4 linked regions of the Lepisosteus oculatus genome follow. The protein of the gene in region 1 purifies or fractionates together with the protein of each later gene. This does not show direct contact. Links are inferred from orthologs where the notes say so. Each region holds a gene or a part of one and is shown on either strand. Other genes may lie near its edges.

What was found.
Region 2: the proteins of dhx15 (region 1) and sf3b6 fractionate together in Homo sapiens (co-fractionation; 3 studies listed by BioGRID and IntAct, with this or other methods). This does not show direct contact. The link is inferred for Lepisosteus oculatus from reciprocal best matches to the Homo sapiens genes DHX15 and SF3B6.
Region 3: the proteins of dhx15 (region 1) and fus purify together in Homo sapiens (affinity purification with mass spectrometry; 4 studies listed by BioGRID and IntAct, with this or other methods). This does not show direct contact. The link is inferred for Lepisosteus oculatus from reciprocal best matches to the Homo sapiens genes DHX15 and FUS.
Region 4: the proteins of dhx15 (region 1) and ddx5 fractionate together in Homo sapiens (co-fractionation; 3 studies listed by BioGRID). This does not show direct contact. The link is inferred for Lepisosteus oculatus from reciprocal best matches to the Homo sapiens genes DHX15 and DDX5.

The regions. Positions count from the first base shown.
Region 1 is NC_090696.1:62,446,994-62,454,304, forward strand, and holds the start of dhx15 (ATP-dependent RNA helicase DHX15), read left to right. Parts: upstream 1-4,304; 5' UTR 4,305-4,418; coding exon 4,419-4,489; intron 4,490-7,311.
Region 2 is NC_090697.1:38,316,324-38,323,650, forward strand, and holds the start of sf3b6 (splicing factor 3B subunit 6), read left to right. Parts: upstream 1-4,327; 5' UTR 4,328-4,440; coding exon 4,441-4,470; intron 4,471-4,930; coding exon 4,931-5,049; intron 5,050-7,010; coding exon 7,011-7,149; intron 7,150-7,327.
Region 3 is NC_090699.1:5,217,358-5,224,809, reverse strand, and holds the start of fus (RNA-binding protein FUS), read left to right. Parts: upstream 1-4,435; 5' UTR 4,436-4,536; coding exon 4,537-4,549; intron 4,550-7,185; coding exon 7,186-7,210; intron 7,211-7,452. Other genes in the region: vkorc1 (vitamin K epoxide reductase complex subunit 1), read left to right, coding at 768-877, 1,233-1,444. UniProt on the Homo sapiens protein: DNA/RNA-binding protein that plays a role in various cellular processes such as transcription regulation, RNA splicing, RNA transport, DNA repair and damage response. Binds to ssRNA containing the consensus sequence 5'-AGGUAA-3'.
Region 4 is NC_090704.1:45,522,335-45,529,604, reverse strand, and holds the start of ddx5 (probable ATP-dependent RNA helicase DDX5), read left to right. Parts: upstream 1-4,257; 5' UTR 4,258-4,417; coding exon 4,418-4,458; intron 4,459-5,207; coding exon 5,208-5,376; intron 5,377-5,726; coding exon 5,727-5,823; intron 5,824-5,943; coding exon 5,944-6,077; intron 6,078-6,395; coding exon 6,396-6,461; intron 6,462-6,571; coding exon 6,572-6,713; intron 6,714-6,801; coding exon 6,802-6,962; intron 6,963-7,045; coding exon 7,046-7,218; intron 7,219-7,270. Other genes in the region: centrosomal protein of 95 kDa, read right to left, coding at 1,480-1,501. UniProt on the Homo sapiens protein: Involved in the alternative regulation of pre-mRNA splicing; its RNA helicase activity is necessary for increasing tau exon 10 inclusion and occurs in a RBM4-dependent manner. Binds to the tau pre-mRNA in the stem-loop region downstream of exon 10.

The sequences.
Region 1 (7,311 bases):
AATTTTGGAGGTCATACAATGAATCAGGAAATGGAGACAGATATGACAATATGGGCATTGTTTTGCAAAGGCACTTGGGATTGGGCAGAGCCAACAAGAACAGAAAGCTCATAGAAAGCGGTAATTTCTCAGGTACTTTGAATAGGTTGACCACTGGGGGACAGGTGTTTCCCAGAAACCTGAAAGTGAACCTGACCATTACAGCAGAATGGGAGTCCCAAGATCAGAGAAAATATTTGACTGTACCCGAGGTCCTTTAAAAACATAATTAAGAACGACAATTCGGTACATGATACAACAACATTATTTGTTGATAATGACGGCAATATCAGTTACTTTTTTAAAAATAAAACATAAAAAATTGCTTGGGTCTGGGGTGTATTGCATGCCACACCAGAAGAAGTAAAATATTCTACAAATAGCTATGTCTTGCTTAAAAAATTACAAAAGGACTGAGAAATAAAGTATGACTAACATATCAGCTATCCCGTGTAATATAATATACTGTTCTTTTCACTTTTTGTGCTAAAAGCTATTTTAAAGTTAGAGCCTTTATAAGTTTGAATGCAGCCTAATTCCTTATTTCTAACAGGGAAAAATATCATTTCACTCTTCTTTTCTTTGTCAGAAGTCATTTTATGTTGATGTTCATCTAGGTATTTTCAATTCAAGTGCCAGTCATTTTAGCTATAAAACAACCCCCTGCTCTTTCCCTTCCTCCTGCAAAAGGTTCCTTTTCCTCTGTTTGACAGCGAGGCTGCCAGGCAGTCCTATTTCACACACAATTGGACTGTTATTTAATTGCCTGTGAAAGAAGTGGAAAAAAATGGCTGGTATTTTAAATTAGTTTTGAATTTGGAACATTAGTAAGGCTTACTTGTAATGTTAACTTCTTCTTTCCCATCACCATCAATCCCTAGTTACAAGCAATGAGCCATTTGCCATTACAAAGATTGTTAGCAATGCCCAGGTTGTGTAATTACCTGTGTCAATTGCAATGATTGTCTTAGGTGTCTACCGATTCATCACTACATAATCCAATAGCTTTTAAGCTGCATGGGATCTTATTAAAGTGGCTATGTCTATGGGGGCAGTGTTTTTAACGGTCTTTGTTATGGAATATAAATGTCCCATTAACAGACTGATTGTTTACATGGTTATCCAATGTTGCAACCAAAGTTTCCTGTTGAAAATAATTTATTTTTTGTTTGCACCTCACAAGTATGAGCAGAAATAATTTTAGATGCTATTTAATAACTTTTAATAATGATAAAATTGCAATTACTTTTGGCTAAGGATCTGTGCCTGTGGCTGGAAGGTTGTCGGTTTGTATCCCATGGCCAGCAGAGGAATCCTATTCTGTTGGGCCCCTGAGCAAGGCCCTTAACCCCAACTGCTCCAGGGGTGCTGTATAAATGGCTGTTCCTGTGCTCTGACCCCAAGGTTCTCTCTCTGTCTGTCTGTATGTCCATGGAGAGCAAGTTGGGGTATGTGAAAAGACAAATTCCTTATACAAGAAATTGTATTTGGCCAATAAAGTGATCTTATCTTATCTTATCTTATACTGTTGGTGAAAAACAATACACAGATTTTACCGCAATGGTAAGGAAGTACACATTTAATAAACAATACATTACCTCCAGTTGTGTTGAAGATTTTTCAGAGAGGCAGGGCTATGACACTCTCCTCACCCCAATCATTTTTCCCATCATGCATGTGGCCCAGGTCATGATCTGCAAAAAAGTAAAGCTCGCTCCCACATTGCAGACGTTGCATGACTGTTTTTGGCAGAGTAACAGATTCTGCTCCTTCCATGGCCAGAAAATCTACCACATTTGTCTCAGATTGAACATTTGTCGAACAAAGTGATTCAGTGTCTTACTGCCTAGTGAACTCTAAACAGATATTTATGGATTTGCTGAGGAGCTGATCAACATTTGGAACACTCCAGAAGCAGTCAGCATCAATAACATTACAAATCACTGCTATAAGGTACTTGCAGTCACCAATGCTAATGGTGGCCCAACAACATACTTACTGACTTTGTGATCTGCATTAGCACCATCCATGTCATGTGTTATAGGGACCAAGATATTGGACTTAGATTAGGACGTATGCATTTTTTGGGGGAAAGCTTCTTACATTAACTTATTCTCTTGTATATCGTATATCTCACAATACAATTGCTATTTTCTGCAGTTTCTTTTTTATGGTAGTACAGTACATACGGTAGTCTATATGACTCTCTCTTCTAAATACCCCAACACATATTTTATTGTAGTTAAGTTGCAGTTATTCATTACTGTAATTTAATGCAAGTAGATTAAACTCATTTGCAAAATTAATGACTCAAAAATATTAATAAGTTTAATCTTGTTATTATTGAGAATCGTCTACAAAAGCATAGGAGCTGTTCTCAGAAATCATTTCTGGGAGTTTTTTAAGATTTATACACCACCATCTTTTTCCTGGAAAGATCAACAGCCTGGGGCATCAGTTTCTAAAGTTTCTATAGAAGAAAAATAATAGACTAAATTAAATAATTAAATAAATAACTATCAAATTACATGTTGACAGCCAAGGAAAACCAGTAGGTTTATGCTTCACTGGTGTACACTAGGTTTATCACACTCTACTGTGGAGCATGTGCAGTGTTATGGTAGATTTTGTAGTGCTCAAGCTCATCACATCTTAAACAGAGTTAATAGGGTCCATAGCTATATTGTTTCAAAACTCAGGATTTCTCAAGTTTGCTCCAGCCTTGAATGAACTTCTGTTGGTTGGAAATGCACTTCGCGAATTGCAAAACATTTGCAAATGCATGTAATTTCTTCAGTTTTGCAGGAGACCATGACCATGATACATTGTTTTCAATGAAAACTGCATCTGCCCTCCTCTCACATTTTGTTTTTTGTGAGAGATAGCCAATCAATCCACAGAGTAACCAGGAAAATATATGCTAGATATTTTGCAATTCCTACCAATGTGGTCATTAGCTAGAGAAGGATCATTTTGTTACCTGTTGTGGGCACCAACATGTTTGAATTCAATCTTATTCCATTTCATTCTCTAATGTAAAACCAAATGGATGTACAGTAAAAATGCTTCCTAATTTAAATGAAGAACAGGGAATAGACCAAATTTAAAGCAAATAATTTTATTTTTAAGTGGTACAATACTCTAATAATACTTTCTCTAATAATACTGCTGAAAAGCCAGAACTATATGGAAGTACATTTTAAATCAAAAATAGAAGACACGTCTTTACACAAAGGGTTGTGGGAGTTGAGGAACAAGCTACCAGACATTGAAGCTAATACCTAGGCCCCTTTTAATAAAGGCCTGATAGATCAATTAACTGCTAATACGGCTACCATTTGTTTATAACTAATCTTATGTCCACTGGAGCCGAGGCTATAATCCCATCTCCTACCCCCATGGACCCCTCCATTACAGTGTATCCATGGATGTTCACATAGTGTAAGTAAAAAATATGAAACCAGCACTCATTCATTTCCACAGTCATTACTTATCCAGCTAGCCTGAAAATTGCATATTGAATAGTTGAGAATTCATGTTTTGCCTAGTTAATAATGTCTGAAAAAATGCGTGACCACTTTGGATTATATTCTTATATAAAGTTATACAGGAAATTAGTATTTTACTTACAGTATATTGCCATATATATATATAATATCGTATATATGTGTGTAAAAAGGTACATTGTATAAAGTTAGGCTGTCCTGGATGTCATCATGAAATGCATTACTTTTTGGTAACACAGATATGATCTCAACAGTCTAAACATAATTATGAAATCTAACATCAGCAACATAATAATAGTTTAATTTTGAGTACTGGTGAAGACACTTAGCATGATGAAAACAGTTACGCCGGCGTTGTAAACTATAACAGTTTGCAACACTATACGCGCTAGGCCTATCTACGCGATAGAACTAAGTTGTCGAAACTGGTATCGTTTTTAATTAATACAATTTTGAGTGCAACGAAGCCCAGAATTGACACCAGATTTTCCCTAGTCAAGAACACATCCACACGTCACGGAGGGAACAGAGGGGCGGGAAGGTTACTGTACTGTCTTCCTTCTTCCGGCGGTGCCGGCCGGCTTTCAACACTCCGCACCTGATGAGCTGTACCATCCTGGACTCAAATATTTTTATTTAATACATTTCATAATTACATATTTGTGGAAAATAAAAGAAAATCAAACACATCTATATATTTTAATGAAGGGGTTATTTTCATTATTTTATGTGAAATAATAAAGACGAGATGAGTGGTTCCGGTCGCCATCTTGTCGCCTGGTGCTGTGACTGAAGAGGAGGGTTTGTTTGGGAATAAGTGTGCATTTCAGGTGTATTATTTTTTTTAAATAAACCTTTTCCCGGTCAAACAGTATGTCCAAAAGGCATCGGTTGGATTTAGGCGACGACTATTCTTCTAACAAAAAAAGATCGTCCTCTGACTTGTAAGTTAATGGTGTTTTTTATTGTTTGGGTCCGGGAAGATGGGTTATGCATCTCGGCGCCTTCCTCGGGTCAGCGAGTACTGTGCAATAGCAGTCTCGCTCACCGCTGTTTTCCTAAAATCCGAGTTTAATACTCTTGGAATAATACGCTTGGAACGTATTATTTAAAAGTTAAAGTGGCTTTAATTTACCAAGACGGGATTACAACACGTCTTATTTTGTTAGACATGTATTTTGTTACACGTGGGATTCTCTTGCGGCCTGTATGCGGTTTGCAAACAAAATGCTCGTCTTGCATCGAGTTTTTAAACTTGCAGAAAGCTTTTTAAGTCAATCGTGTCCATTGTAACACTGAGGGGTTACGATATGCGCCGCCTCAGTCGTGTTTGTCCTTTGCTCAAATGCTCTCTCAACACGTGTTGGTAGCTGCAGTTGTTGTTGCAGACGGTATGTGATTGAGAGCCTCCAGCCTGTGTAGGTTTCCGTGCAAATATACGTTTTGGCGATTAGTCTATGATAAGTAAGTCTGAGGCATGTTTTTAAAACTTCCAACAACAATGTTTAGTTTGCGGTGGGCCGGCATGCGGTGAACATGGTTTTCTTGTGACATCTGATGATGATGGTTTATGCCTTTATGGCCTTATCCTCGGTACATCTCGGTAGTGTTAATGCAACAGCCTTGCTATAAACTAGTGGCAGCTTAAACGGGCGACGTTGGCGTGGTGTAGCTTATTTTATATTTTCTTTTTGTTTTGTCACTGATTACGTTGACGCTTATGAATATATTAGAAATGGACCGCCAAAAGTGTGGATTGTTGTAGTGGGCTGGGGGCACTGGTCTGCTGAACGTCCCAAACAACAGGCTGATTCACTTGAATATGTACTGAGCGTGAAAACAAAATGGATCATTCTGTTTTTGCAAAGCACATGAATTTTGGATATTGATTGTTTTGGGGGCATTAAATGAACCGATCTTGATGATTTCGTTGTACAAGAGCTACATTTCTTTATTAATGATAGGGGGTGATTCAGCCTATGGAATCCTTTGTGAATTGTTAAAAAGCTAGGAATTTGCCAGTCATTTTGAATATTTCATATTCAGTCCAGATTAGACTAAAGTAATGAATGTTTGCAAGTGGCACAGATGTGCAGATCTAGAGCAAAGTCCAAGTTTTGTGGTCTGGGCAGGGGTGTTGCTATGGAGTGCCTCAAGCAATTTTATCACTAATTTGCCACATGGCATTGTAAGACCTGCGACCTCACTTGCTGTCCTTCCTGCATTCACATCCTGATATGACAAAATTCCAGAAGGACAGCTCACACATAAATCATATAACAAGTGAAGGTTTATTCCATGCTGAAAAGAGAATAAAAGAAAACACAACTTTTCGGCCGTGGAGCCTTCTTCAGGTGTGAGAGCCTGAACTAAATCATATAATAGCCGGCCTGAACTAAATCATTAATTAAACCTGGACTAAATCATATAACAGCTTTTTTGTGAAGTGGGAACATGGGAGATATGACATAGTTGCCTTTTCTACAGATTTGATGCCCATTGAACGTATATGGGGTGGCATAATGGCCCGGTGGTTAGCATTGCTTTCACTCACAGTCCTGGGGCCCTGGCTTCAATTTCAGACTTGGGGTGCTTTCTGTGTGGAGTTTGTATGTTCTCCCTGGCTTTGTGTGGGCTTCCTCTCACAATCCAAAAGCGTACTGATAGGTTAATTGGTTCCTGGGAAGCTGCACTGTGGTTTATGAGCGTATGAGTGTCTCTGTGTGTGCCCTGCAATGGACTGTCACCCCAGCTGGGGTAGATCCTGCCATAGGCACTGGCTCTCCCGCAACCCTAGGCTGGATTAAGCGGTTAGAAAAGGGATGGATGAACATATGTGGGATGAGTTAAGACAACATGGCAGGGAAGAGGCACATGCTTGTTCAAACCCTGAGAGAGGAATAGGACAGAATCCCACAGAATGTGTTGCAGGTGTACAGCTTGTGCTACTTCCAGTGGTGCCCCCACAACCTACTCGCTTGTGACTTTTACTGTAGACCCTGTGTTGATCGACTCTGGTGATGATGATGATGTATCGGCATAATGAATTTACCTGTGTGTCCAATAATATGTCAGTGTAGTTGCACTACAAATATTTTTGGTACCTTTGCAAATATGTTGTTACTAAAGGTTTCTTTTAATGCTTATTGTATTTGAAATGAAGTAGCCGATCTTAAAGAATTACACGCGTCCAGCTGTTAAAGCCTGAAAGGCAATGGCCACCTTTATGGCTGTATCAGAAAGCCATGGTCATTTTCTACTGTGGGAAAATGTTCTGCTCTTATTCACTCAAAGCACGTAGCTAGATTTTGGTTCCATCATGTACAAGGATCTTTTATAAATAAAATCTGTGATTTTTGAAGGTATCCCCAACACTACTCCCTGGAAAAATCGAAGATGCCACAAATTATAACGATTAAAAAAAAAACTTAGTAATGTTTCCACCTACTTTTAGAAGGTCTCACATCATGCCCACCTGTTTGCAAGGAATATTAAGATTTTGAATTCTGTGACTATGCCTATCATATGCACAGTTTCAAACTGAGGATATTATTGAATATTGAAGTAATAGGCCATTGATTGACAGCAGCATTTTGTTTGTCAATCTTGAATATTCTGTAAATCTGACCGTGTTGCATGCTAGTTTACTCAGTAATGCCAGGGGTCTATTTATGTAGTGTTTCCAAAATAAAGGTAAATTTAATAAATGTAACTACCAGTCTGATAGATCAAAAACTCTATATAAATGCTGGTAAAGAGTGTGAAC
Region 2 (7,327 bases), on another chromosome or scaffold:
TCACCAGCCAACCTCCCTTCAATCGACTGTCCTCTGTTTTCAATGTTCAGATATGGTAGCCCTTGTCATCTTAAACTTACAACATTATTGCTGAAGCTCAGTTACCCATGATCAAGTTTTGTATCTTTTGCCATTATTAGAAATACACGATTTGTGGGAAACATGTAAATTAAATAACATTTAATCAAAACTACAACGTTTTTGTGAATACATGAAGCATTGAGAATTAAAACGTTGTCCAATTTATTGTACTTTTTTACATTCTTGGACTAATCTCTAGATTATTTTGATACTGTTTTGGCACCAAAATAATATTATCATTTATCCATCAATCTATTTTCTAACTACTTTTTCCAATTCAGGGTCAAGTGGAAGCAGGAGTGTGTACCTACAGGCAAAAGCACAAGGCCAGGGTACACACTGGAGGGAACACCAGTCCATCACAGGGCACATACAGACACAAACAGAGACACACACACTCACACCAGGCCCAGTTTTCCCAGAAGCCAAATAACCGACCAGTATGCCCTTCGACTATGTGATGAAACTGGAGAACCCAGAGGAAAAACACATGAACATGGGGAGAACATACAAACTCTATGCCAATGGCAACCTAGGTCTGGAATTAAACCAAGGATTTCAGTGTTATAAGGCAGCAATGCTAGCCACTGTGACACCCTTGAACAGACATGATGTAAGTAAATCAATTATGCTGATGAACATTTTTTGTTAAAGTGGTTTATCAATAGAGTGTCTACTCTACTATGAAAGACACAAGCCAGTAATATGTAAGGCCACAGTGGGAATAAATACAGGTATAAGCTATACTGTACATCTACAAGGCAAGGTTTGCTCCAGGTTGCAGATACTGTCTTTTCTGATTCTGTCCCATTCCTCTCCTGAAGCCTGAATAAGGATGTGCCTGTTCATTGGTCTTTGCCACATGGCGTCTCAAGTTCAACTTCAAGTTTTTTGTCATATGTACCTAAGCAGAGTGAAATACTAACTTCCATGCTTTCCTTACATGCCAAATGACATAACATTGACATACAAAATGACAGAACAAATGACATCACCTGAGGTAACATAGTTCATCCTCCAATTAACATTTGACATAAAAGGCATTGATTTCTTTAAAAACGGGATATATTGCTTCTTTTCTGTGTGTTTGCTCCCTGATTTGCACTAGACTTAACACTCAATGGATTAAATCATCTTTCCAACCAGCCCATCATTCCATGTTGACCTTCCTTCTCCCACTAACTAATGAAGGGACAGTGCCTTCTCCTAAGCAAAGTAAGCAGGCTCCCAGAACTCATGGTTTTTAAGAGGCCACCATTCAAACTTACACTTTCAGCTGACCCTGGCACATTATGCTTTTGCTGCAACACTCGGTATTGTGTCCTTAGTGCTCTGAGCAGGTGTCAATAGAGGAAATGACCAGTGTCAATGAGAACCCACAGTTCCTCAATGACTTATGGGATGCACAGATTGTTCCCACTGCTGATCAGGGCCCTGTTTTATGGTTTCCACTGTGATAGAGTCAACAGTCTAAAATATGTTTTCATTATTATAATTTCTCTGATTCTCTGAGGCTTTTTTTTTCCGGTGCTTGTACTGTTGCTGCAGGTGTCCTTTATTGCCACAACCCCAGAAAAATGGTCATGTAACTTCTGTTATTTAGGTTTATGGTTTGTGCACAGGCAAATGAGTCTTCATTCTCTGCTGTCCTCCTTGGTGACAGCCAGACAGGATCCTCCAAGGATATCCAGGGCCAGGATGAAAAGCTCACTGCGGATGACTGAGTGACATAGGTTCTTTAGACATAGATCTGTGGTTCTGTCCAGTCAGATAGCATCTGCAGCAAATGATCCAAGACACATTTAAGTTGCTTTGTTTCTGCTGGTGTCTGCTGGCAGTGCTTTTGCTGTTCGTTGATATGTAAGCTGTATGTAACAAATATACCCCTGCGTATAACAGGGATCTCAGCCGCCCTGGCTGGGGGAGTTCTCCTTTAGCTCAGCTGCCAAGTTCCCTGTTGCGTGACACTGGAGACCCGGGTTCATGCCCACTGAGGGACGGACTGGCAGGGCAGGAGCGGCAAGGAAGGAAACCCCAAGAACTGTTACATGTACAATAAAGTATTGATGTTGTCTGTTGTAAGCAGAAATTGGTTTTAATTTTTATTGCTGAATTGGTAGCTTTCTCCCTCACCAACTCTCAGAGTCTCCCCAGTTACCAAAGTTGCTGCCCCGCCTTTTGGAGTCACATATAGCTCACATTGCCATCAAAAGTTTAGCACTGCTCTAGTGAACATTTTGGAAAACTGCTGTCCTTTCCTTTTGTCCTCCTCCATAGAGGTATGAGCTTTTTTTATCTTAAAACTAATAGTTCACCCTCTTGTGTCCCTTTGTCAGAACTTAGAAAATGGTGTTATCCCATCTTCCTTCTGTCTGATACAGGCTACTGTAACATTTCTTTGGGTTTCCTCCTTTGCCGCTCCTGCCCTGTCAGTTCGTCACTGCCTGGGCAGGAACTCGAGTCTCCGGCGTCACTCCAACACTCGAACTTGCCGACCGAGCTCAGGGGCGTATTCGTTACACTAGCGATTAATGTGGAATTGTGAACGTTGTGACTTTGAAAACAATAGCTACAACCAGAATTGCAATACTGATTCCTTATTGAAAAAGAAAATGAAGAAATACTGCAGCTCAGATAAAACTGCAGATAGATCAACATAGTTTTCCCAAAACATTTAAAGCACAGACTTCCCAAGTCCGAGAACAGCTCCCCTGTGCTGGAGAGTATACCTCCTAGGGCTGCAATGCAAAAATGGAGTGGAGGAATTTACACAATCATACAATCATACAAACCTACAAAGCAGGATATAATACAATATATTTTCATAGATTATCTATCTACATTAATACACGTACGTACAATTATAATAACACCGGTGATTATGTCTCTGTAAATAACATTATCTACTACTTTAATACATGGAAATTATTTTTGCAATTTCAAGGAATTCACACACGAGCATCTCAACTCACAGACGTTCCACACCTCCTGGGTAGATGGCGCTAGAAGATGCAAGGAGGATTAAAACAGTTTACAAATTTCAAATTACAAATTTCTTTGTCATGACGCTCTATGGTTGTTTTGGCTGCTCTAATGCTTAGCGACTTGTGGAGCTGTGTGGCTGTATAGACTTTTCAGCTTGGGCGAGATGTTTCGTTTGAGTGAGACTTTGAATTCTAAATCGACTCTGCTTTTCATCTACAGGTTTTTTTAATTGGCAATTTTTATACAAACAAAACTTATATAATTGTAAGCACTGTATATATGTCGTATATACAGTATATTGCTTTAAAATAATAGTTTATGAAGAGGCTAATGCTGAACTGAAGTATCATGTTATCATGATCCTTTCCTAAAAAAGAGGACATTGGCTGAGATATGGCTGAGAGTATCTCCCCGTTTACCAGGAGAAAAGTACATTTTGATTATGGATAACGAGAATCGTGTTAGAGCAAGAACTGAATACATAATTATTCCTTAATTCTTCCCACCCCTTTAAAAACTAAACACATTTATGTTAAAGTTATTAACAAAATATATAATTCTAAGGAATTTCCAAGGAGGTTAAACTTGGACTGTAACATCTGTATTTTTCTGAGTCTGGTATTAAAGCTATTGAACTGATTTTTTCCAAGTCATTATACAACAGGCTTTTGGTATTGTTATGTTTGTTCTTGATTAAAAAGCAGAACTATCCTTATAAATTTAACTTATAAGGGCATTGTTCTTGCTCTTATGAGTAAATACAGTATAATGTTAATACATCTACTGTTAATACAGTATAATGTTAAATGTTATATTAATAGTAGCACAATTTACACAGAGTACTTAAAACTTCTATGTGCTTCAAATAGTTTATAAATTCAATTAGTATGCAATTTTTGGATAGTGTAAAATATAAAAATATGAAAACTGTTTTTCGCAATTCCTTCATATACAGTATGCTTATTTTATGTGTCATACAATGTAATGTTGAAATTTCCAATCTGATTTCTTGTTCTATTGATTCATTCGATTTTTTAAATTTGTATACTGTTGTAAATAATAATAATAATAATAATAATAATAATAATAATAATAATAATAATAATAATACGTTTGTTTTTTTCCGCTGGAGTTCACGCAGACCGGATTTTATTGAACGTCGAAGAATACACCAAAGGGAGAAGACGACAAGAGTCTGCATAGTGAACGTACCCTATAAACATTACCCTTTAGATTTACGATAGGAGAGACGTCATCACTATGCGTCCATTTTCTTGATCACTCTTCCTGTGAGACAACGAGGAATCAGGATTGTAACCACTGTTCGTGGCGTCTTTATTTTTGTTAGTAGGATTGTGGAAATAAATCGCAATCATGGCTATGCAGGCAGCTAAAAGAGCTAATGTAAGTTGTTTTAAATATTTTTTAAATCTTTTTCAATCGTGTATTTGAGTTATTATGTTATTTGTGTTACTGAGCTAACTGGGCCCGTTTTGCTAAAATCTTGTTTGTTTCAGTAACTTATTTGTTCGGTAAATGTTTATTTAAATAAGAGCACAATCACATAATTTATAAAGAATGGGGTTTGTACTTCGATGGAAGTACAAAAAGACTATTTTTTTCCAAACATGCATTCAACGTGTATCAAACTTGTAATATAAATGTTTGATTTCCCTCTTTCTCTAATATACAACAATAATGTACTAATTAGCAAAAGGTGCTTTTGATAAAATGGTATTTTGACGCTCTTTAGTCAATTTATAAATGGATATCTTCTTCAGGATTTCTTAACTAGTTTAAAGTGATTATATGAAGTGTCAAGTTTGAATTATTTAAAAATTATTTTGATGTTTCCTTTTGTCAGATTCGATTGCCGCCAGAAGTAAACAGAATCCTCTATATTCGTAATCTTCCTTACAAAATCACAGCGGAAGAAATGTATGATATATTTGGAAAGTATGGACCAATACGGCAAATCCGAGTGTAAGTGTTATAAGGTGTTTTTTTTTTTAATATGCCTTTCACTTAGAGGGCGTAAATGGATACATTTTAAGAACTACCACAATTCATGTAACTGCCAGTCTTAATGCACATTATAATTATGGCTTTGGACAAAATAAAATATTCAAAAAAAGTTTAATGGATATTTTATTTGTATAACGTAGAGGTAGTGCAGAGTGATATGTCAACAAGAATCACACTTTAGCGTCTGGGTTTGGGAGCAGAGGCTAAAAACAAGACCACCTGTTACTCTTTTCGCACTTTTACAAGTGATCTAGACAATGGGTTTCCACTCCTGGTCCTGGAGGGCTATACTGCTTTATCAGTCGTTTTTTGCTCAAGCCAAGCACAGGTTACACATTTGAACCTTTGATTGACTTAATAATAGTATGAGTTTGAGCTGTTTGATTGTTTACTCTCTTAATCGTATCGGAGATCACCTCTTTGCTCTTTGAGTTTTAAAAGTAATATAAAATCCCAAATGTCTTAAGTACAAAATAAAAAGTTTCCACACGTTACAATCAAGCAACGTGCTAGTTCAATTAAAGCTTCCATTTTCAATTTGAGGTTATTAACCTTGGCTGGAATGAAAACCAGCAGGACCTCCAGGACCAGGATTGGGAACCCTCCTCTAGACTACTACCTGTATTTTCTTCATGTTAGGAAGATGGATCGAGTGCCATATGAGCATTGATGTCAGGGTTTCTAGCTTTGCAGCAGATTTGGTTGCCCCTATTTTATTATTTGTTTACTTAATCACTACCTAAAGTTCTGTTATATTGCCTTGTAATGTGTGGAGCTGCAGCTACCAATGTATATTGCTTGTAAACTCAATTTATTACAAATGATTTTTGGGAATGAAAAGATTGGACAAGAGTAAAGACTGGGGACTCCAAAAGAGCAAAACGTGTTACAGCTTGTGTTTACCAGTCATATCACTTCCTACCTCAATTAAAATTATTCCCATTAATTTATTATTTTTTCTTGGGTATGATTTTTCCCAAATTCTGTAGAACTTCTGTTCATGTTCAATGTCAGAATTGGGCTAATACTGCTATAGATCACTTTCTCCAACACAATTTACATTTGCTTTGGATGAACTTAGTTTCAGGTTAGCATTGTTTCCTTTGTTACAAACAAAATCATTGTTATAAATGGCTTTTGCTTGGTGTGTTTTGCAACACTCCCACTGTTAACACACACCATCAAGTTAAGGTCTAATGTTACTTTTGTATAGAGTCTCTTTTACTGCATATTTCTTTCATTTCCAATTGTAGTGAAATTTGGATCTTGGGGTTATCTGACCCTTAGATTTAGTATGCATACATAGATTACTTCCCTCATGAGAAAGCTCAATGTTTGTAGCATGTTAGATTTCAGATATAAGCATACAAATTGAAAACCTATAAGAATGTAGACAGTTTAAAATGTATAAATATGTATTTTTATTTTTTGATTAAATTAATAATACAATAAATTGAATAACTGAAGAAACCTACACGCCTGTATGTATTCTCACAATTGCATAAGGAATCCAAAAAATAGAATATTCACAGAGATTGCAACCTACCAGAAGAATCAAGGTGAAGGTCATGCACAAGATTATTGAAAATGGCTGAAATTGTGATTTGTCAAATTCTTAAAAATAAAGCAGTACACAAAATATAGCAGTGACAATATTTTGTGATTGTTTTTTCTGTTAAACTTTTTTTTACATTTTACCTGTTTAATTCTAAGTGCCAAATAGAACTGTTGTGATATTGTCATTCTTGTGCTGGTGCTAGAGACTTCAAAATGAAAATAATAACAAATTACAAACTTAACCTTTCAATTTCTTCAAGGGCTTTTATTGAAGTCAGGTGCTTTTATATTTTGTATGTTTTCATATTATTTTTGCATTAACGTTATTTACATTTCATTAATCGGACATATTTTTTTCCTAGTGGGAACACACCAGAGACAAGAGGAACAGCATATGTTGTCTATGAAGACATCTTTGATGCCAAGAATGCCTGTGATCACTTATCTGGATTTAATGTTTGCAACAGATATCTTGTTGTCTTGTACTACAATGCTAACAGGGTATGCATATTAAAACATTGCTTTTCAATTATTGTTTTTAGTGTAAAAGCAAATGAGTCCATTTTATTTGAAGATTTAGATCTTCAGATGGAAGAGATATAGTTCACAAAAAATGATATATGTACATGACAAATTATTGAGTGTTGCAGTATTTCCGGATGTTTTTTAGGTTATCTAT
Region 3 (7,452 bases), on another chromosome or scaffold:
TGGAGTTCAAATCAGAGTTTCCTGTGTCGCTTTATTAACATTTTGAATTGAAGTAAGAGACAAGATGTGAAAAGGGTTAACTTCTGCCTGAAAATTAGACTTGTAAGCAACAGGGGTTTATGGCAGGAAAGGGGGTTAACTGATAAGGATTCCAGATGCGAGCAAGGAACCCCCTGGGGGCATAATCTTAAACTGACCATTTGGCCAGGGTCTCTTAACTGGCCAAATACCATGACCCCCCTTACCATAACATCGAATAACATCTGAAGCAGCAAGCAAGGACTATATAACCTAAAAGTTTGTACCGGCACATCGAACAATACTTCGGTTTTGTTGTTTCTTGCGGGAAACAAGACTTCGGCTTTATTGTTCCTTGCATGCAATAAACTCATCTGTTTTACTTCATCTCGGGATCCAGAACCTTATTCTTTCTGTTACAACAGAATCATGTATGCATTTCGATTTTTATGCGTGTGTCAAGCGGGACTGGGGATTGGGCGGGGGGGTCCCCCTCAAAGCACAGGGCCCTGGGCGGCCACATACCCCCCCCCACCCCGAGCCGGCCCTGGCTGTGAGGCAGAAATATTAACCACTATGTAACCGTGCCCACCTGAAAAACTGCGCCTAACTCTAGTTCCAGATATAGATCTGGACTCTCGGACAGACCGCTCCCCAGACGCGTGCCGCGGGAGAGGTGGCCAGTCCGTGCCCGTGCCGGTCTGACGACGGGCGGGGGGCAGTGAGGTGCACTTCCCGATGTCTTCCAGGTGGGGGCGCGGCTTCGGCCTGGTTGAGCTGGTGGTGGGGGTCGACAGCCTGGCGAATCAGCCCAACAGTGTCTTCGGGGTCATCTTCTACGTGCTGCAGCTGGTCCTGGGTACGAGACTCCCCCCGTCCCTGTCTGTGTGTGTCTCAGTCTGCTCGTGTGAGCTCTCTCTCTCTCTGCTCTGTGACGGTGTGTGAACCCCACGTCCTCCATCTCTCTCTCTCTCTCAATTCAATTCAATTCCAGGTGCTTTATTAGCATGACTGATGGGTACAATCAGTGTTGCCAAAGCAAATAAAACTAATAAAATTAACATGGAACAAAACAAAAAATAGAAGTAAAATAAAACCTACAGACATGTTACAGACATTTACAACTCTCTCTCTCTCTCTCTCTCTCTCTCTCTCTCTCTCTGTAATTGAGTGTATCAGTGTGCTGCAATAGTAGTCTTCCTCTGTGTCTGCAGGTCAGTCGCTGTCCAGCAGGGCGGCGCTGTTGCTGGTGCTGACCTCCTGGCTGTCTGTGGCTGGCTCCCTCTACCTGGCCTGTATCCTGGTGTTCGTGCTGTGGGATTTCTGCATGGTGTGTGTCAGCACCTACCTGCTCAACTTCACCCTGATGTACGTCAACCTGCGCAGACAGAGAGCACTGAGAGCTGACAAGGCCAAACGGAGCTGAGAGAGAGGAGCTGTACATGAACACTCACACTGACACACACACCATACTGACACATTTACACACTCACACACTGACTGAGACACCCATACTGACACACTCACACTGACACATTCACACACTGAGACACACACACTGACTGACACCCATACTGACACACTCACACACACACTGATTTACACACATACACACTCACACACACTGACTGACACACTCAAACACTGAGACACACACACTGACTGACACACACACACAGACTGACACTCACGAAAGAACATGGGAACACAGGACGAGTCACAAACGCAGGAGTCATCCAGCCTGTTTGTTAGTTAAGAGCTAATTAATCCCAGAATCTTTCCGAGTTGTGTCTGGGTATCAGCTGCAACAACCCAGCTGGGCAGCTTTTTCCACTCTCCCACCACCCTCTATGTACAGAAGTGCCTCCTGTCCTGACTGGAGCATCTCTTCCAGCTGTACCTTGAGAGAACCCGGGGTATCAGCTGCAACAACCCAGCTGGGCAGCCTGTTCCACACCCCCACCCCTCTCTGTGTAAAGAAGTGCCTCCTGCTCTCAATTCTAAATGCTGCTTCCTATAGTTTCCTTTCGTGTGCTCTGTTTTATATGCCACTGCTTATTCTCAAAACCTGTTACATTCAGCCACGAGCTCCCACAGATCGGAGACCTGTTCAACAGGTGGCTGATCGATAACTGTGACTGGGGAGTGTTACAGGATACCATCAGTGTTACTTTTTTTTTTATTCTGGCAAAACCCCAAATAAATCTTCTTCAAGTACCTTTGATGTGCCTCTCTGCTGATTTTCGTTCTGAAAGAAGGATTTTACTCTGCGCAGTGAGACAGAGGAGGGAAATCTAAATCACACACACACACTCCCGTCTCCCGTTGGGGGTTCTGTGAAAGTGGGGGGTCTCCACTATTCTCTGGTCTGCGTGCTGTCTGCTCAGAGGCACACGGACCGCGTTCTGAGCGATGGACTGCGGGGCGAAAACACTGGTGGGGTTTTACAACTTCTCCTGACAAAAGAGGGGGTGATCAAGGAAATTGGAAGAGCTCGGGCGCAGAGCGTCTCAGTTCTCTAACTCTGTAGTTCTCAGTCCTGATCCGGGAGAAACACTGTCTCCTGGTCTTCACTCCAGCCTGGGCTCTTAATGACTTTATCTCAGACGATCTCAGTCCTGATCCAGGAGGAACACTGTGTCTCCTGGTCTTCGCTCCAGCCTGGGCTCTTAATGACTTTATCTCAGAGGATCTCAGTCCTGATCCAGGAGGAACACTGTGTCTCCTGGTCTTCACTCCAGCATTCCTTAAGTTATGTGCAGACGAGTTGGCCACAGTTTTTATGGATATTTTTAATCTTTTACTTTTAAAGTCCCCTGTTCCAGTGTGTTTTAAGAAAAAAAAACCACCATTGTACGTGTGTTGAATAAATATATTGCAACTTTGAATGATTACAGACCGGTAGCGCTCACATCTACCAAAATGAAATGCTTTGAAAGGCTGGTGATGAGCCACATTGACATCATGATACCGGAGTGCTTAGACCCCCTGCAGTTTGCACGCCTGTGTAACAGGTCCACTGATGATGCTATTTCCCTGGCTCCTCACACTGCCCTGGCTCATTTGGAAAACAAAGGCACACGTCAGACTGCTACTCATTGATTACAGCTCCGCCTTTAACACTATCGTTCCATCCAGACTGGTCACCAAGCTTAATGATCTGAGTATCAGCTCTGTTGTCTGATCCGGGTGTCTCTCTGCAGCTGGAGTCTGGATTCCTGACTGGCAGACCACAGACTGTGAGGGACGATGGAAAGCTATCTTCCCCGCTGACCGCTGATATAGGTGTCCCTCAGGGGTGCTTGGTCCCCTGCTGCTCTCCTTGTTTACCCACGACTGTGAGGGCCAGACGCAGCTCCAGGGCGGACACACAATTTCAACCCCGGTTGGCCCAGCTGTGAGTGTGTGTGTCTGTTACTCGCGCGTGTGAGTAGGTGAACCACCACCAGGAAAGAGCACAGAGAGGTGACCCACACGGAGGCAGTGAGAACATGCAGACTCCACCCTGACAGCGCCCCAGGGATTGAACCCGGCACCCCCAGCACTGCGCCCCTGTGCCGCCTGACTTTCATTCAATGGTTTCCAGTCCCGATCCTAGAGGACCACTAATTGAATTCAGTTCCCTATTTGGGGAATATTGTTAGGTTTCCCATCAGCTCCTGAAAGGATTTGGGATTGGGTGTCAATGCTGTACCAGTTGGAGATGAAAAACGACCCTCATTCAGACAAAGACGCGGTTCCAGCCCTTAAATATTTACACATCGCATATGACAATATTCACACATTACATTTTCACCGCTTTCTTTTCTTAGGTGATGTATGTATCAGAAACCGGGTCAGATGAGGATAACTGGGGTGAGATATTTAATAGAATGAGGATGCAGTGTAATCCTGTTCTGTTGCAGTGCAGAGAGACGAAGAGTTTACAGCCGCGGTGCCCTGTTACAACACACCTCCAACCCAGAGCCGATACGAAGCATCGCAAAACCCCATGTTAATCTCTTAATGAGAGGCGGATTAAGGGAGACCGGCGCTATTGTACAAAAACGTGAGGGGGTTTCTGGCACCCTCTGCTTCGTTTCAGTAAATGTATAAAAAGAGACAAACTTTAAAAAAAAGTGAATTGTTGTTCTCAGACGGGAATACGAACAGCAGGGACATCTTTTTTTCTGGTGACGGGAGGGGGGGGGACTGTTCGATTCGGGTAGTTTCCCAACTGCACCGCCTCCTCCCCCCAGGCATTCAAGGCAAGTGGTCTCGTCCAGCCGCAGGTTTTAAAAGTCTCCGCGCGGCGGCCCGGTGACGCAGTTTGTCCTCAGTGTCGAGCTGCGGAGCTGTGTCGTCTTCGGCGCCTTCGAAGTTTCTTTTTATTTCTTTCTCTTCTTCCCTCCCCCGCACCCCCCACCCCATCGGCTTTCTTTATTTCCCGTATTTATTTTCTTCGGAAGCAGTTTGTGCGTTTGAGGGAAGAAAAGCGCGGGCGAAAGAGTCGCGGAGCACAAAGACAACCCGACCACCATGGCGTCCAACGGTAAGAAAATAAAAACACAAATTTCTTACTTTTTTTTCTTTAGAAAATACCATCGTTTTATTTGTTTTTTAAAAAGTGGCCTTCGCCGCCTGCTGTGCGAACTCGTGGCCGTTAACCCGCCTGCGGGAAAGAGGCGGTTAGCCTGTGGGTCTAATTCATTTCAAACCTCCGCTGTCCGCGCCGGAGTGAAACAAGCGGCTTCTCCGGTTCTCTGCTGTGTGTAAGTGAAAAGTCTCGACGTCTGAATTTGAAGACGCTGCCGGGGTCGTGGCTCCGGGGAGAGAAACGCGTAAAAATCACACAGTTCGGGGTTTGAACGTGTGGGTTTCTCCTCGCGTCAGGGGCTCCGCTCGCCCCGGCCTCCCGGCTCTGTGTCGTTCTGGTTGTGCGCTTTTTTTGTTGTTGCTGAAATCGGGTCCGTTTCCGGCCGGCTGGCTGGGCTGGCGGCGGCGGCTGTTTTCCCTCCCGAGAGAAGGGGGAGAGGCGAGACAAAAGCGGGGCTGTCGCCTCTCCGCGGCCGCCGCCATCTTGCCTCCCCCTTTTGTGCGCGAGCTGGCGCGGGGTGTCGCGCCCTCTGGTGCGCCTCGCGCCCCCGGGAACGAAGTGTCCGGGCCGCCGAGGTGTGATTTTGGGGGGCCCCGGGGTTGAGGGAGCCCCCCGGATTTGCTGTGGGGGAGCAGGTGTGTGTGTGTGTAGGGGAGTGGGGGCGGGGCGGAACCGGCCATGCCGCGCGGAGCGGCGCCTCCATCCGGGTCATCCCGCTCAAGATGGAGCCGCCGACTTCCGCTTCCGGCCGGTGTGGAGATCGGGAGAGGGGCGGGAGCTGATCGCCGCGCTGCTGCCCCGGCTTCTCAGGCCGCTCGTTACCCCCCCGGTGACGACACGAATTCATTGGCGTTGTGTAAGGAAGAAAAATGGAGGAGTTCCGAATTAAATCACGAATTTAAATGAATTAAATTTAATTAAATCAATTAAATCGAGAGTTCGTGTGAATTGCGCTGGAGAGGCGGCGGCCCTTCCTGCTCACTAGCCACCTCGATGACGAGGGTGATGGAAGAGCAAATCAGCACAGGCTTGCGCAGCAGACGATTCACTACTGGGATGTTCCAAAGTGATCCTTGTGCAGCGTTAACAAGTAGTATTTGTCGCCAAAACCATCTCAAAGTCGAGAGCGATATTGCAGTAATATCCAGTCAACGATGTTTCTGTTGGCTTAAAATGGGCGTTTACCAGCACGCGTGTTTACAATGTAATTAGGCTGCTTCACGTCGTTGGGTGCCCCCCCCTCACTCGTTCTAAATCACAGACTTGGAAATGGTCTATTTTGTGATATAATTGCAGGTTTTACACGTTGTGCCTTTTACTTTTAACGTGGTTTGAAATGTACTCATTGCGAATTCTTTCTAACCCCAAAATAAAAAAAGTTGCAGTTCTGCTTTAATACGTATGCTGAAAAGCAGCTGCAAGTGAGAATAGTTTAATCAGCACATCTAGTCTGTTTGGTCGTGTGTGCTCATCTGAGTGAATTGTGCATCACCCAGCTGTGTCAAGAGGGGAGTCAGCGTATTGGTCTCAACAACAGGGCTGGGCAGCTTGTTCCCCTCTCCCACCACCCTCTCTGTACAGAAGAGCCTCCTATCCAGGCTGGAGTTGATCACCCAGTTGTGTCAAGAGGGGAGTCAGAGTATCGGTCTCAACAACAGGGCTGGGCAGCTTGTTCCCCTCTCCCATCATGCCTTTTCAAAATTGATCATGCAGCACCCCTACACTGCCGAGCAACCGGGGGTATAGTCACTGAACTCCATTCAGACCACCTGGGTTCAAGCGCAGTACAACTAAGTTCTCTTATATTCCTGCAGCCATTGACCTGCTTCGTGTGCTCGATGGATTGTATTTTATTTTTCATGACTGTCCCCCCCCTTCACAAACGTACGGTTTGCTGCTACGAATCATGCGAATTGTCACGCGCGTTTTGAGTGGCAAAGGCCACTTTCAAAGCTACGAAGACGTGATGCAAAGAAACATTTCGAAACCTCAGGCAGGTCGGGGGAGGGAGGAGGCAGGCGACTGGTTTGGTATCGGGTGCTGGCACCGTCGGGCTCCACTGCCGGGTCTGGCGTGGGTGGGAGTGAGGACACTGCGGCTTCGCCTGCTCGCTCCTGTGTGCTCCTGCTTCCCCCGGGCCCTGGAGGGGCGAGGAAAGGGCCACTGTGTGTCGCTACTCACAAAGCAAGTGAAGTGGTCATTCTGAGGTCTAACGAGATAAGCAGTGGATTTCATCAGATAAAAAGTAAACCACAAAAAAAGTTTGTCCTTGGTGTTTCTTGTCATTTTTGGTGAAAATGGTTGAAGGGGGACTTTCTTGGGGGTCTGGAACAGCTTGTTTTTCTTTGTAAGAGATGTTGGAATGGGTTTTTCTTTGTATGAGTTGTCACTTTGCAAAAAGGTTTCTGGGAACGAATTACGTTCGTGAAAAGAGGTCCAGGTCTCTTTTTTTCCTCATCATACTCGCACGTCTGGGTGACTGCTTCATGCTGTGAATTTTGTCCTTCATCTGCCTGTAAAACGCGTTTCGCACCTGGCACAGTGCAAGTGTCGCCAAGTGACTGACCCCCCGTTTCTCTTTGTTTTTCCAGATTACTCCCAGACTGCGCCCCAGGGGTGAGTGACTCTGTGTTTCTACTGTAACTGTGCCAGCCTGCAGCTGATTAACGTGTTTTATACAGTGACTTAAAAAATGATTTATCCAAGTTTTACAATAAGAGGAATGGAGCTAAAAGGAAGAACAGCCAGGGTTAAGAATGTAGTGGATCATGGGTCGGCAATTCGTTTTTTTTGCAGACCCCAGCTTGTTCTCCGTGAGACACGGGCTCACAGACAGGGAGAGAAGCTGGGGGTCAGAG
Region 4 (7,270 bases), on another chromosome or scaffold:
TCCTTTGGAGGGGTTGGCGTGATAAATATATGACGCAATATTATTGTTTTCATTTAAGGCAACCGGTAAAAGTAGTTCAGTTCAGTTTATTGCCATATGCACAAGGGAATGCTTATTTGCGTGTATGCTCCAATACAAGGACATTAAGGAAACAAAAAAAAACCATAAACACAGAACAGCAGCAGCAGCAACAAGTTAAACAACATACAATTAAAAAAAAACATCTGTGTGAGCCAGTGGTAGGGGTAGAGTTCAGTGATCAGACAGCTTGTGGGAAGAAACAAGCTGCCGGGTTACTAGTAGTAGTAATACTAGTAGATGGCAAACAGCGCGGCACCAAAACCATCTCGACTGGCGGATTGATTAATGGTCAAGAAACTGACAGTGGCGTCCTAGCTACTGGTAGCTCGGTTTGCCATCGCTACAGACACACAAGCTGCGCTCCAGGGTCTGGAAAAATAAATTTACCATCCCAAACAAAACTGTGCAGGACCCCGGAAAGGGGGCTGTGGCACAAATCAAATGTAGAAAAAGCGTTTTGGCGAGAAAGGGGTGAACACAAGCCGGTCTATAAGCGTCACTAAATCTTTGTTGCTCATCGGCCAAGTTAGTAACTGTTGCCGCTGCAACAGCAGGGACCGGCGCCAACAGTAAAAACCGCCGCTATTATCCCGCAGTTAAAACACGATTCCCACTTCAAAAACTCCTTATACGTGCCGAAGGGTCAACGCTTTGTGTACAGGGACTCTTACTGTTGTACAGCCCCGAGTACTGTCAGCTACTAACCGTTAATTAATTTACAGCGCACTGTACTCTTCTCCCGAAGCGAAACAGTGCCACTGGCAGCCGACGATACAGTACGCCTGCACTATGAAGAGCAAACATCTATAAAAGAAAGGGAACGGCTTCTAGCAGCGAAGTGATTAAAAAAATAAATAAAATCAATAAAACTACACAGCAAAAACAGAACCACAACCACAACATACCCCCTGTTCTGTTGGGCTTCTTGTTTTTGCGATCTACCTGATCTATCAAAACACTCCGTGCTGATTTGTAATTTCATTCAACCCAAAGCGGGCACCCAGAAAAGTAGCCGAACAAAAGGTGACATTTTCTCGAAAGGCCCTTGTCCCATTCAACCCTGGGTATAGAGGGATATTTATCTTATCCAAACGGCGCTTTAAATTATTAAGCAGATGCAGCAGCTGTATTGAATACAGCCGCAGCAGCAGCAGACCAGGACAGAAGACAGATAAAAATCTTTGTGCTAGCCCGTCCCTCGTCGTGATATAACCTGTCCGCGATCTGACAGCCTTTACAACCACATCTTTGAAGCACAGACGGAACACGGAACAGCTGGGCAAGACCGGTGAAGATAAACGATTTCGTCTGGGGTTTTATTTAAAAAGAAACGCAGGACAGGGTCTCAAGAGCGCCCTGTGGGTTAATCTGACAGAGGAGGGGTTCCTTTCCACTGACCTTTTTCCTCTTGCGTTCCCATGAATGGTATGTTCCCAAAGCAAATCGTTATGTGTCCAAAACCAACAAAAACGAGAAGTGCAGATGAGGTGGTGGATCTGAAGATAACGCACAGCTCTGTAGCTCAGCTTCACGGTCTGAACCAGCCTCGGACATTTAAAACACGGGAGTCTTCCCATTGGCTGCCGAGAACAGCGCCCCGATCCCGGATATGACGTAAAGCCAACGGAAAACCAAGAAGGCGTCAAGAGCATTTTTTCATTTTTTTTCCATTTAAGTGTCCTCTTCTCGCGATCTTGTTTGTAAAAATGCCGATTTTTTTTTCAGTTTATTTCACACTGCGCATTTCTTGTTTTCGCCCGTTAAAGGTGACGCCCCCATGACGTTTGGGTTGACGTCATTTCCCGGCAAAGGAAGGCACAGCCGGTTGCTGTGCTGTGCTGTGCTGTGCTGTCCTGCTGGCGATGCCTCCGAGCTTAGAAATAGACCCTTTCACTAAAACAAACTGTTTTTTTTATATAGGTGCGGTTACAGATTCCGTCCCGTTGGTGTACTTTTTGTAAAAACGGGATGGTTGATTCCAAGTGCTGCTACCAAAATGAATTTTACGTGGCAAAACACGTAAAATAAAAAGTCCAGGAAATGACCCAACTGCACACTTCCTTGGAGACGGATTAGACAGGGCTGTTATTTACAGAGACTCACTGGACACGCTGGTGACGGAGGCTGGGTCTTACCCTGTAAATACATCGCGCAAATTGCGATTCAGACTCTCGGTGTGGTCGTGTACTTGGACTAGGCGATAGACTATTGAGAACCGGAGACTGTTTTTGTATTTCAATAAAGGAAACGGTGGTGGGTTGTATTGCCCGTGCCCGGGACAGGTGCTGTTTAACAAAATGCCTTGTTTGAGATACGACTAGGGGGAGGACACAAGTGGAAATTATTGCAACACCTGTACCTTTTCTGAAACAGATATTGAAAGAACATTTTCTTCTCCCGTCACGGTTCGACAACCTCCTGGCACTTGGTATGTTCTTGGCCAAAATAATAGCAGTATTCGTGGACTTTTGAGGAGTTCAGGTGGGTAGCTGCGTCAGCCTGCGCAGGCTGCAAAGGAACAAGTAACAGGTTTATTCCCTGCTGAACAGAGAAGAAAGAAAACACAACGTTTCGGCCGTGGAGCCTTCTTCAGGTGTGAAAAAGTATCCACGGCCGAAACGTTGAGTTTTCTTTCTTCTCTGTTCAGCAGGGAATAAACATGTTACTTGTAACTTTTAAGGATATTGTTCTTGGTGTTCCAAATCCAAATCCAAGGAAGTTCGTATAATGGTAAACGTCATTCTGATGTTAGCAAAATATTACGTGTAGAATTAAAAAAAAACTACAATGTGCTTTAACTCACCTAAGCTATACTCAAATTCACAAAAAATATTTTAAAAATAACCTTGACGAGTTGGTCTACAAAAATCTTCTGGCATATAAATTTAATGTAACCCCTAACACCACTGAACCTCGGTACTGTGGAGAATTTGTTTTTTGTTTCACTCACCTGATGTTACCGTTGTTCTATCATGTTGTGACATTTGTATGTAATAATAATAATTGCTTACACGTATATAGCGCTTTTCTTTACAGGTAATGGGGATCCCCTCCACCCCCACCTGGATGATGCTCCAGTCTGCTCCCCACACACCAGCTCTCAGTGGGGAGGAGAGCAGAGTGATGAAGCCAGTTCAGAGAGGGGGGTTATTAGGAGGCCATGACTGGTAAAGATCAGGGGGAAATTTGGCCAGGACGCTGGGGTAACACCCCTACTCCTTAAGAGAAACACCCTGGGATTTTTAATGATCACAGAGAGTCAGGACCTCGGTTTTACGTCTCATCTGAAGGACGGCGCCTGTTTACAGTACAGTGTCCCCGTCACTATACTGGGGCATTAGGACCCACATGGACTGCAGGGTGAGCGCCCCCTGCTGGCCCCACTAACACCTCTTCCTGTTTATGTATATACCCCTGGTTGTTGTATTTCCTTCCCCTTTTTGCATTTGAAAAATAATAAAAACCTTTTAAAAAAGTGTAAATTTCCTGGGCGGGGTGGGGTGTGTGGGTGGTTAGAAACGCCAACATTTGGCGCTGCTTTACACAAATAGGCGTGAGGGCGTGGAACAATCTACTCAACCACGTTGTCAAAGCCGACACCCCGGCTTCTTTCAGGAACGGGCGGATGGGGCGCCCGGATCAATTCACTGCCACCCACCAAACGGGCTTTCTGGCCTGAATGACCTCGTCTCGTTTGTGACCACGATTGCGAATGTGCCCCACGTCCCCACACACCGAGCAACAATAGTGAAAGACCCTCTAAAGGCGGTTAACACGACGCACCGACGCACTCCTGTCGTATTTTTTTGTTTTGTTTTTGGACTCAGACCAACTACTAAAGTGACGACGACGATTAACTTCTAATAACAAAGAACGCGTTTAAAATAACCAAACAACCCCCCCCCCCAAAAAAAAAAGATCCTAAGCCACCTACGTTATATAGCATTTTATGGAGCAAAACAGAAAATTGGTCATTGTAGTTGCCACTTCCACAGTACTTTTGTTTGTGTAATGCAACAGAAACGCTTGCTCTCCAACCCCATCCAGCTCGGCCGCCATTGCGCGCAACAGAGCAGCGTGAGGTCATAGTACCGGCTGCAGGCGGAGGGATACGCCATGTGTGCTGCGGTCTCGCGAGGCTCCGTTTCCTGTTGCTATATAAACCGGCTTCTGTGCGCGAGGAACCGGCATTTTCAGCGTTACCACTGCCGGCAACTGAGAGGAAGGATCCCGCCTAGGAAGTCGAAAATTTAAGAAATTAGCCAGTTAAACGCTGCTGTAACGCAAGAATATATATATCTATTTTTTAAATCCCAAGCTTTCTTTTTCCCGCATCATGCCTGGTTTTTCTGACAGAGACCGTGGGAGAGATAGAGGGTAAGTCGGGGGGTACGAATGTAAAATGGCTGACACGAGTTTGATTTGAAATAAAACGTGATGTATGTTTTGGGTTTGTGTATTTTGCGCCGATTATTCTGCTTGTGAGTTAGTGTGGCTAGTAGTCGGGGTTTTTTTTTTTTAGAAATAATAGGTCGTTTTTCCCGGGGAACGACGATCGACTAATCTGTGTGCGTGTGTGTCTGAAACGTCTCGTTAGTTTAAAACTGTTAGTGTTGTAGTTTGACTGTGAACGAGTGACGTGGATTTCGGGGCTTGGGTCCGAAATGCGGGTGTGGGAGGAAAAAAAACATTCCTCCATTTTTTTCCCCCCTCCCCGGTGTGCTCGCCATGTGACGACGGGTTCAAAGATGTGGAGACAAAATGCCGGCCGGCCGGCGTCTTTGTTCCTCTGCTGGTCAGAAGCAAAATGGCAGCGGCTTAAAATGTGACGCAGAAACAAATCTTAAAAAGGGGGGCAGGCGTGGGTGCGATTCGCACAGGGACGTCGCGGAGCCGAATCTTTTCAGTGCAGGTTGCCGGAATCTCATCTTTAATCTTTTAAAGACGAATCCCCCACCCCCATGGCACTGTAATGATGGCGCTTACGTGGCCCCGTTGTTTTACCCAAGCGAGACGCATTTCTCGCCGCCATCTCGGAGAGAGCTTCTGCCGTTTTCGTTGTGTTTTTTTTTTTACATAAAAACGTCTTTCCGTCTGTTGAGCTTCCCGTTTTGCCGTCGTTTCAGTTTTGGCGGCGCGCCGCGGTTCGGGGGCAGCCGAGGCGGGGCCCCCCCGGGAAAGAAGTTCGGGAACCCCGGCGAGCGGCTGCGGAAGAAGCACTGGAACCTGGACGAGCTGCCCAAGTTCGAGAAGAACTTCTACAAGGAGCACGCCGACGTGACCCGCAGGACCGCGGTGAGTCGCCCGCACGGGTGCGGCAGCCTCCAGGGGTTGCGATGCGGGTCCTGAGACCGTTGCTGTTTTATCTCTTGATACCCCCCCCCCGGTTAAAAATGATTTAGGACTTGGTGATGAAGCAGTTAGGGATTCCTTGAAGGGAGAAAGTAGGTGTGAAGACTCACCTGCAGGTTCAGTCTCCGTTATCCCCCCCGGGGTGTTTCGCTCCTGTAACTGTCCAGCTGGAAGACTTGCGTAAATGAGAACGTGCCGGACGAGGGCCGCTGGACTGGGCGGCTGTGTGACGCTGTAGCTCTGGAGGGTGGTCAGTTTTTTTTTTCCTCAATGGGCTTATTTTCTTACTGCAGCAAGAAGTGGAGCAGTACAGGAGGAGCAAGGAAGTCACCGTGAAGTGCAGGGATTGTCCAAACCCCATAATGAAGTTCCATGAAGCAAGCTTCCCATGTAAGTCTGAGCCAGGATGCAAACGGAGCACGCTTCCTGTTTTTGTGCTTCAAAGGTTTAAGTGCACTTGAAGGTGCTTTGAAGTCCTCGTTCAAGTCTAAATCGGTCTTCCTTTTCCAGCCTATGTAATGGACGTGATCACCAAACAGAATTTTACCGAACCTACCCCCATTCAAGCACAAGGCTGGCCGGTGGCGTTGAGTGGGAAGGATATGGTTGGGATTGCACAGACTGGATCTGGGAAAACGCTCTCGGTAAGGTCAATCGTGACGCCTTATAGGAAGGGTTTTAACTGATGTCAAGTCTAGGTGTGGAAGGTGGTGGCAGAATCCTAGGAATGTGCTTCTCGTGTTGGAGATTATGGTAATCCTGTAAAGGTTGGTCACTTGCTCACTGCCCCCATTTGGAACACCGTGCAGCCCATTGTCGATCTGACTCCTGCCCATCCACATGAGTCAATATAATGTAGTCTTTTTCTTTGATTGTAATAGTCCTTAAGTTAACTGAATTCAATTAACTTAACATGTTTATTAAATGCCATGTTCCATAATGTTCAAATTCTTTTGTTGCAGTATTTGTTGCCAGCAATTGTACACATCAACCACCAACCATTCCTTGAACATGGAGATGGTCCCATTGTAAGTGTTTCAGTTTACACAGCGATTTTTTTTTTTTAAAGTGTTAATGTTTCGCCAACCTAAATAAATTCCATCCTATATTCTAATATATTCTAACCCCCTTCTTACAGTGCCTGGTACTGGCTCCAACCAGAGAGCTGGCTCAGCAAGTCCAGCAGGTTGCTGCTGAATACGGTAGAGCCTCCAGACTGAAGTCCACGTGCATCTATGGGGGCGCCCCTAAAGGACCTCAGATCCGTGACTTGGAGAGAGGTATGTCCATACTTGTCTTGCTCGGGTCCGTTGCTGTGGTTTTCACCCTTCTGGGAGCAGATAAAGAGCTCTTCTCCACCTCTTGTAGGCGTCGAGATCTGCATTGCCACACCTGGAAGGCTCATCGACTTCCTGGAAGTCGGAAAGACGAATCTCCGCCGATGCACTTACCTGGTACTTGACGAGGCCGACAGAATGCTTGACATGGGCTTTGAGCCGCAGATCAGGAAGATCGTAGATCAGATCAGGGTAGGTCTTCCCACTCCCGAAGCTTCAAGGTCTTGCTGGGTTAATGCTGGAGACAAATTGACTTTTTATTTCCCCCCTTCCAGCCGGACAGGCAAACCCTGATGTGGAGCGCTACCTGGCCGAAGGAGGTTCGGCAACTGGCGGAGGACTTTCTGAAGGAGTATGTCCAGATCAATGTGGGGGCACTGCAGCTGAGTGCCAACCACAACATCCTGCAGATTGTGGATGTGTGCAATGATGGGGAGAAGGATGACAAGTGAGTTCCAGAGCTGTTGTTCCTGTTTGAGTTGGGTTGGGACTCCAGACAG